Linked DNA regions of Sus scrofa. The protein of the gene in region 2 interacts with the protein of the main gene of each other region in a pairwise test. Links are inferred from orthologs where the notes say so. Each region holds a gene or a part of one and is shown on either strand. Other genes may lie near its edges.

Evidence for each region.
Region 1: the proteins of GTPBP3 (region 2) and PARP11 interact in binary tests that used the Homo sapiens proteins (3 or more experiments, as listed by UniProt). The two-hybrid records come from large-scale screens. The link is inferred for Sus scrofa from reciprocal best matches to the Homo sapiens genes GTPBP3 and PARP11.

What each region holds. Positions count from the first base shown.
Region 1 is NC_010447.5:66,442,121-66,446,029, reverse strand, and holds the start of PARP11 (poly [ADP-ribose] polymerase 11), read right to left. Parts: upstream 2,548-3,909; 5' UTR 2,317-2,547; coding exon of another isoform or gene 2,299-2,316; intron 1-2,298. UniProt on the Homo sapiens protein: Mono-ADP-ribosyltransferase that mediates mono-ADP-ribosylation of target proteins. Plays a role in nuclear envelope stability and nuclear remodeling during spermiogenesis. Inhibits the type I interferon activated signaling pathway.
Region 2 is NC_010444.4:60,352,980-60,356,888, forward strand, and holds the start of GTPBP3 (tRNA modification GTPase GTPBP3, mitochondrial), read right to left. Parts: upstream 2,425-3,909; 5' UTR 2,326-2,424; coding exon 2,273-2,325; intron 1,934-2,272; coding exon 1,680-1,933; intron 1,570-1,679; coding exon 1,187-1,569; intron 1,038-1,186; coding exon 965-1,037; intron 873-964; coding exon 729-872; intron 578-728; coding exon 412-577; intron 182-411; coding exon 1-181. UniProt on the Homo sapiens protein: GTPase component of the GTPBP3-MTO1 complex that catalyzes the 5-taurinomethyluridine (taum(5)U) modification at the 34th wobble position (U34) of mitochondrial tRNAs (mt-tRNAs), which plays a role in mt-tRNA decoding and mitochondrial translation.

The DNA.
Region 1 (3,909 bases), on a different chromosome or scaffold from region 2:
CAAACAGAAGCCATATGTGCAATAGGAGGTGTACTTGCAGATTACAGGTGGCAGCTCAAGGTTATGGATGCTACCAAAAAAACACACGAAGAACTTAGGCAGAAGTCTTCCATTAATGAGGTTCGCTATGGCCTTCCTCCTCAAAGCGGAATTTATCATATCACTCAACGGAAAGCAATGGTCAACAGTCATTTCAATTGGTGGGTAATACAAGAGTCATCTGTATTTATCTTTAGGATGCATGGTGGGCTTTTTTTTTTTTTTTTTTTAATCTTCCCAACTGTGCTTGGCTTAGGGAAACATTAAAATTAATTCTCATTCCACCAGCACGGCTGAAGAGATTATCCAGATGCCTCTTCTATTAAAAGAAACTAACAAATTACAAGAGGAAGCTCACGTGCAGAATGTCGACTGTGTTTCAAAAAAACAGAAACTGTCCTTATTGACAGCATTCATACCTTCACAGGAAGAATAACAGTATCAGTAAGAAAGAAGACACAATAGCATTAAGACATAGTAGAGGAGCTTAATAAGGGCCAAAGAAGAATGTGGGATTGTAGGTGGAAGGTTCACCCCTAAAGAAAGACAGCCTGCTCCATGGAAATCAAGCAAAATCATTAGGGGGATGGCAGAGAAAACTCAGCATTCCCTCCAAAGAAATGAGATAACTGCTATAACAAACCAAATATACAAGAGACTCATTAATGCTCTTATCATCCTTACAAGCACACAAGTGATCCAACAGCCAATGCAGACATAAGGTGATGGAGGAGAGGACTGAATAACAGGAGCAAAAGCCTCTCTCTAGTACTGATGCAATCACCTCTGTTAATTCAACGGATATTGACTGAGCACCTACTACATGCCAGGCTCTGTTCCCGAGTCTGAGGACACTGTAGTAAACAAAACAGACAAAAATGCCTGCCCACGTGGAGCTTATACTCTAGTGAAGTATTTAAGATATGTGACACTGGGCAAGACATGTCCTTGGGATGATGAAAGGGCTTGTTATGGAGAAATCAGAAAGAGAAGCACTGCCAATAAAAAGTGAATACACACACAAACACATATACACACATATACATACATATAATAATACAAAATGAAATTTACTAATGAAACTGATAGTGAAACTGAATATATAATCAGAGAGCACACTGTCACAATTTGAAATTATTTTTGCCAAAATCAAGCGCCAGTAGTTCCTTTCCTCTGATGTGGCTTTATATTAGAGGATTATATGTATGAACCAAAAAAAAAAAGTCTTAGTGACCACCACTGTTACACAGTGGCCTGGGATGGAACCAGCATATGTAACCAAAAAATCCAGACCAACAGACTAGTTTCTACTGGATAAAAACTTAAAAACAGAAGAGAATTTACTGATAAATCAATTTATCTGGAAATATATTCCAGGAATGGGGGGGGGGGAAGTGCTGATTACATCAAATGAGTTACTGCAAATAAGAAAACAAGGTTATTCAAGTAAATTTAGGAAGTTTTCTCAGTACATGGGGTAGTGGCACATGTTAAAGCTAACAATTTGCTGATATGTGATTCTGCCATCTTTCCACTGAATTCAAAGGCGTAAATAGCGTCCATTTGCCCTCTTACTAGGCGATTTCACCTCTAACAGGTTAATGGAATACTCTTGGCAAAGGAATTCCACTCTTTGCAGGCTGCATATGAAATAAATGAATGTATAAAAGCAAGGTAAACAAAAACAAGCGCAGGCACAATGCAAATACCGGAGGAAGACACAAGACTTGCAGTTGAAACATTCCAGGTCATCAGTTCTGTCCAGTGGAAAAAAAAAAATCTAAGAACCTCACCATCTAGAGACTTAGAACTCACACTCGGCCCACCTCAGTTTTCAATGGCTAGCCCCCGAGGAGGGAAAAGGAGCCAGCCCTGGCGGTTCCTCTGAGGCCCACTCAGGGCCCAGAGGGGCTAGTTCCCTCGCTTTAGATTGGGTTTGGGGGGTAGCTGGTGGGAACACCTGAGGCTAAGGAAGAGAAACAGGTTCAAAGGCAAAGTTGAAAAAGACGGTGGAGTGACGAGGGCGGAGAAACCGCAGCGAGTCAAAATCAATCACTGGGACAGAGCAGCCGCACGGCGCTGGGGACCCACCGGGCCGTCTCCACTGCCCGAGCCGCCAGGGCCGGGTTCTTCTCGCCCGGAAATTCAACAGCCGGCCGGCGCGGCCGTCGGGGTAGCGGGGGCAGTTCCCGGGAACCCCTCCCGCCCTCTCCCGTCAACCCCGCCCATCGGCCCGCCCAGTCCCGCCCGGCTACTCACCGGATTCGCTTCCCACATAACGGTGGCGAAATCGAGCGGAGAGAGCCTGGGGGAAGGGGCTGGCCACGGGGCCGGGGTGCTGGGTTTTTCCTGAGGGTCCCCGGGAGCGAAGGGACGGAGGGGCAACCTCCACACAGGCCTCCGTCTCCCTCTCCCTGTCACAAGCCGGCGTCTTCGGATCCCCTAACCTCTCGACTTCCGGCCAGAGCCTGCTAACCGGGGCCGGTCCCGCCCCGCCCCCGGAAGCTCACCCCGCCCCTGCCGCTCCCTTCCGGCCTGGAGCGAAGTGGGCGGGGCTTGCGAGGGTCTGGGGTTGTGGGCGGAGCTAAAGGGCTTCAGTCCAACCACAGTCCAGGGCTGCAATCCGCCTGCCATCTCCAAGTGATTCCCAAGCATCCCAGGCTGTAATTCTTCGATATTTCTTGATCACCGTATAGTGGGTGTAGCGGTAAGAGGCAGAGAGGTCTGGGAATGAGTAGCCTGTGGGACAGGCTTCACGATCTGTTTGCTCGTGCTCTGCAGGAGACGATAATAGGGTGTTGTGAAATCATTGGAGAAAGCTAGCACAGTATTTGGCATACAGTAAAAGCTCAATGAGTGGAGATTATTTGCCAGATACTGTGCTAGGCTCTGGAATGAACAAGAGTGACCCGTATGCAGTCCTCATGGAGCTTAGAGTCTAGAGGAAAAAAAATAAGAAGTAATTTAGATAACAGGATGCAAGGGTTCCCTGGTGACATAGCAGTTAAGGGTTCAGCGTTGTCATGACTATGGCTCAGGTTCCATCCCTGGCCCGGGAACTTGCACATGCTGCTTCTGTGGCCAAAAATAACCCCCCAAACAAAACAAAAAAACAAGAATTCAAGCAAAAAGGTACAGGATGGTTTATAGGTAATATGGCAAGTACAGGGTTCTTTGAGAGCATGCTTACCTAGGTAGCACAGAGGGCTGCCTCCCCCCCCCCCCCCCCCCGGTTCCCCCATCCCAAGTTTCAAGCTAAAACGTCTTGGCTGTCCTCCTATTGAACTTATCTGAGTAAAGAGAGCTAGCTACAAGAGGGGAAGAATTTCCTAGGCAAAGAAGTACCATCTACCCATGAGAAATTAAAAAGAGCTAGTTTAAGATCCTTCTTAGCTTTTCTATACCTCCACACATTAAAAAAAAAAAATTTTATTTGATCAAAGAATACCTGCATTTTTAGAGCCTGATTTTTTCACTTACTGTGATATAGATATCCTTCATGCCAAAAAAGTATAATAAATCTATTTCAAAGTAGTGGGGAAAGGATGGATTATTCAATAAGCAACTGGTTAGTCATTTGGCAAAAAGTAAAGTGGAAAAAAAAAAGGTAAAGATCCCTATCTCGATCCATTTACCAGAATAAATTTAGTGATTGTAAATTTATACACTATTCTTGAGTGTAGTTTGGCAATATGAAACAAAATTTCAAATTTCCATTTCTAGGAACTAATGTCAAGGAGGCAAATGGGACAACTGCACAGAAAATGTCTATACAAGAATATTTATTGCTACTTTTTTGGAATGGTGAAAAAATTGAAAACTACTTAAATATCTATCACAATGGATTATTTCAAATGCATATGTGTGTAA
Region 2 (3,909 bases):
GTCTGGGCCCCCAGAAGGCAGCAGGTCCGACTTATTCAGCACCAGCAGGAGGCGCTGGCTGCTCCCATGGGGGCTCCCAGCAACCGTGGGGATGACAACAGTATCCAGGAAGTTACAGCTAGACGAAGAGGTCAGGTCAGAAGCATCCAGCACGGCTAGAATGAGGTCAGCCTGCTCCAGCCTGGGGGAGTGAGAGAATGGAGCTTGGACCCCAGAGTTGAGCCATTACGAGCACTGGGTGGGGACAGGGACAGAGGCAGAACGTTACAAACCTGCCCTCCCCAAATAGCAGACTCTCCACTTGAGGTCTAGTGGCCTTTCCTCATTGAGGAAAAATGAAAAATAAAGGCAAGGGGTTGAAACAGCAGAGGAAGGGCCCTGTTTCCCCTTCCGACCACCCTGATTGCCCACCTTTTTTGGGCGCGCCGTACGCCCTCCTTCTCCACAGGCCCCACGCCCTCCCGCAACCCCGCCGTGTCACTCAGCAGCGCAGGGAACCCGGCCAGGTCCACGGGAGTCTCCAGCACGTCTCGGGTGGTCCCCGGCTCAGGGGACACGATGGACACAGGCTTCTGGCCTGGGGGTGGGGTGGGGTAGGGTCAGAGGCGGGGGCAGGGCTGGAGCTGGCTGGTGTTCTACCTCCCTGGCCCCTTGCTCACCCCTAAAAGCTCAGTACCCCAGCTCCTAGTATACCCCCTGCCCCGGGCCCCGCCCCCCTGCCCACGCACTGAGCAGGTTCACCAGGCTGCTCTTGCCGGCATTAGGAGGTCCAGCAACCACTACGTGCGCCCCTGAGCGAAGCCTCTGTCCACGCCTGGCATCTCGAAGGTGTGTGCCCAATGCCACCTCTAGCTCCCGCACTTCGCTGTCAGCTGTAGATGGAAGAAAGCAGGAGGGAGAGTAAGGGGGTCTCTAAGGGCTGAGATGCCAGATGTCCCCACCTCCCACCCCCAGGCAGACCCACCTTGATCCAGGACGCCCTCCTCTAGGTTGTCATCCTCACCAAAATCAATATAGGCCTCCACATGGGCCAGAGCCTGAAAGAGGTGAGTTTGGGTAGTGTGATCACCCAGGAACCCACCCCCCAGTGTGCCCAGGTCTGGCCCGGCCCAAGGTGCCCGACTGGGCTCACAGGAAGCTCTCATGCAGGTTAGACAGGCAAGTGATGAGCAAATGGTGTACTTGCCCTAGTGAGGGTCTCTGCCCAGCCTTGGCAGAGGTGGCCCAGCTCCCCGTCCAGCTGCCTCAAGGCCTGCCGCCGCTGCGCCTCAGTTTCTGCATGGATCAGATCTGCCAGCCCCTCTACCTCAGTCAGGCTCAGCTTCCCATGGGCGAATGCCCTCCTGGTGAACTCGCCTGCCTCTGCTGGCCGCAGCCCTGGCACACTGCCTGCAGGAAGGTTCAGGGTCCTAAGCCCCTTTTGGTTCCTATCCAGGCCCACTGGTATATAGCCACACCTTAAACCCAAGGCTGCAGACTCACCCAGGGCCTGCAGGACACCACTCACCACAGCTGGGCCTCCATGCACATGGAACTCCGCGCAATCCTCACCGGTGAAACTCTGGGGACCTAGTATGGTGAGGAGATAGGTGTCAGGAGGATACCACCTGGGTAAAAGTCCGGAAGGAGGAAGTTGGGTCATAGAAGCTATATGAGGTTGCAGATCTGAAGTCCCTCACCTGGAAACCAAAGCACCAGCGCGCGGTCCAAAGGCTCCCCAGAGCAGGGGTCGCTGAGGAGGCGCAGGCAGGCTTTGCGGGCCGGGGGTAAGTCCCGGGGCGCCGTAAGGCTCCGGAGGGCGTGCCCGCTGGCTGGGCCGCTGGTTCTAATGACAGCGATGCCGCAGCGGCCTTGGCCAGAGCTCAGTGCGAAGATAGTGGACCCGGGACCCAGGGCCGGGGCGCCACTGCTCTGGCGCGGGCACGGCCTGGAACTGGAAGAGGAGGAGAGTCAGTGTTCTGAGAAACTCTGCCGCCAGAGTGGCAGGTGGATCGAAGGCTAGATGGTCAGGAGATGCCCCAAGTGTAAGTTCTGCGGCCGGGGGGATGAAAAGATTGGAAGGTTTGAGGCCGTAAGATGACTGAATAGAGATGTCTGAGAGAAGTTGATCCACATGTGGGCTCTGCGGCAGGGGGATGGACAGAGCCTTGGAAGAAGACCAAAAATACGGCTCTGCCAAAGGGAACTGGACCTCCAGATCCTAGGGAGAGGATCTGGGCCCCAAGCAGCGCCCTACGCCGTCACACCCCCTCCCCCAAGTGAGAAGCCCCACCTGAGAGGCCCACGTGCCGCCCGGGCTACCAGGGTCCATAGTACCCGCCACATGGATTCACAATCAGCGACCAGCCTTGGCAGCGCCCAGCCGGGGCTAGCCCCGCCCACCTCGCGGCGTGATCCGTAAAGGGCTCAACAATTCTCGGTTACCATTGGGCCCCGTAGAAGACGTACCGCCCACCCACTGAAGATCTTAGCTTCTATTGGCTGATTCCAGGAAAGGACAGGGTGCTAGCACTCCGGGTGCAGCTAAATGGTGTTCCCCCTGCAACATTAGACAGAATTTTTGGGATCCTAGAGCAGCAGGGATCTGAGATACCGGAAAAGAGGGTGGGGGTAAGAACAGGGCTTGGCTTAGGGCGGTGGGAATTATGGAGAAGAAAGGATTTGAGTCCCGTTTGGCCACTACATAGCCTTAGGCGAAGCAAGAGCATCTCAGTGACCGGGAGAGAATTCCGGGGAACCTATGCACTGACCCTGGGAAAATCTTGTCCATACTTCTGGGAAGATTTCTAGTTTTCTCGGAACTCTACAGTTCTCACCCCTCCCTAGATTTCCTCCCGCTGTCTCCATGGCCTCGTATACCCTTCTTCCTCTGACAAGCTCAGCCTCAGTGCCTAGCTCCAAGGTCCCCTTTGCCAGGAAGCTTCCCTAGAACCCCCAGCACAGTCCTCTCGCCCCTCTGGGCTACTCTGGCCCAGGTCTGCTGCTGCAGAGTTGAGTGTTCGGTTGGTCTATGGCTCCCCGAAAGCCAGAGGGGAGTCTCAGAGATTACTTTCAGGTTAACCCAGGACAGCGGCGGCTGATGGAATAAAGCGCAGATGGTGGAATTCCAGGCACCGGACGGGTGGGATCTCAGCAGGACGCTTTCGCACGACTAATTCTCTGGTTCTAGGACGGAGCGGGAGGGCGGCGCTCATATACTTTGGGAAGACGAACAGGATACAGGTCTAAAGACCCCATGCCTCGCTCTGCTCAATTTTTTCATTTGTAAAGAAGGGCAAACGATGACATTCGCCGTCTCCGAGTTCTGTCTGTCGAAAGTATACATCAAGTGCCTACTGTGTGAGAACAGAATTTGCCTGGGACTCTGCGCGCGCTGGCTTTTCAGTCTAATGGAGGAGGCCATTCAGGGTGGTCGGGAGGTCCAAGTGACAGGCAAAATACAGGGCACTCAGTTAAATGTGAATTTCAGATAAACAATGAGTAACGTTTTAGTGTAACTATATCCCATGCAATACTTGGGACATACTGAAAATTTATTCATTTATCCGAAATTCACATTTAACTAGGAGGACTGTAATATTATTATTGTTGTTGTTGCTTTTTAGGGCCGCACCCGCGGCATATGGAGATTCCTGGGCTAGGTGTCGAATCGGAGTTACAGCTGCCAGGCTATGCCACACCCACAGCAACGCCAGATCCAAGCCACCTCTGCGACCTACATCACAGCTCACCTCAGCGCCGGATCCTTAACCCACTGAGCGAGGCCAGGGATCGAACCTGCCACCTCATGATTCCTAGTCGGATTCGTTTCCCCGGCGCCACGTTGAGAACTCCAGAAGGACTGTATTTTTATTTGCTAAATTTGGTAACACAATCAGATCCTCTCTGAGGACGTTACATCTTTAAAGG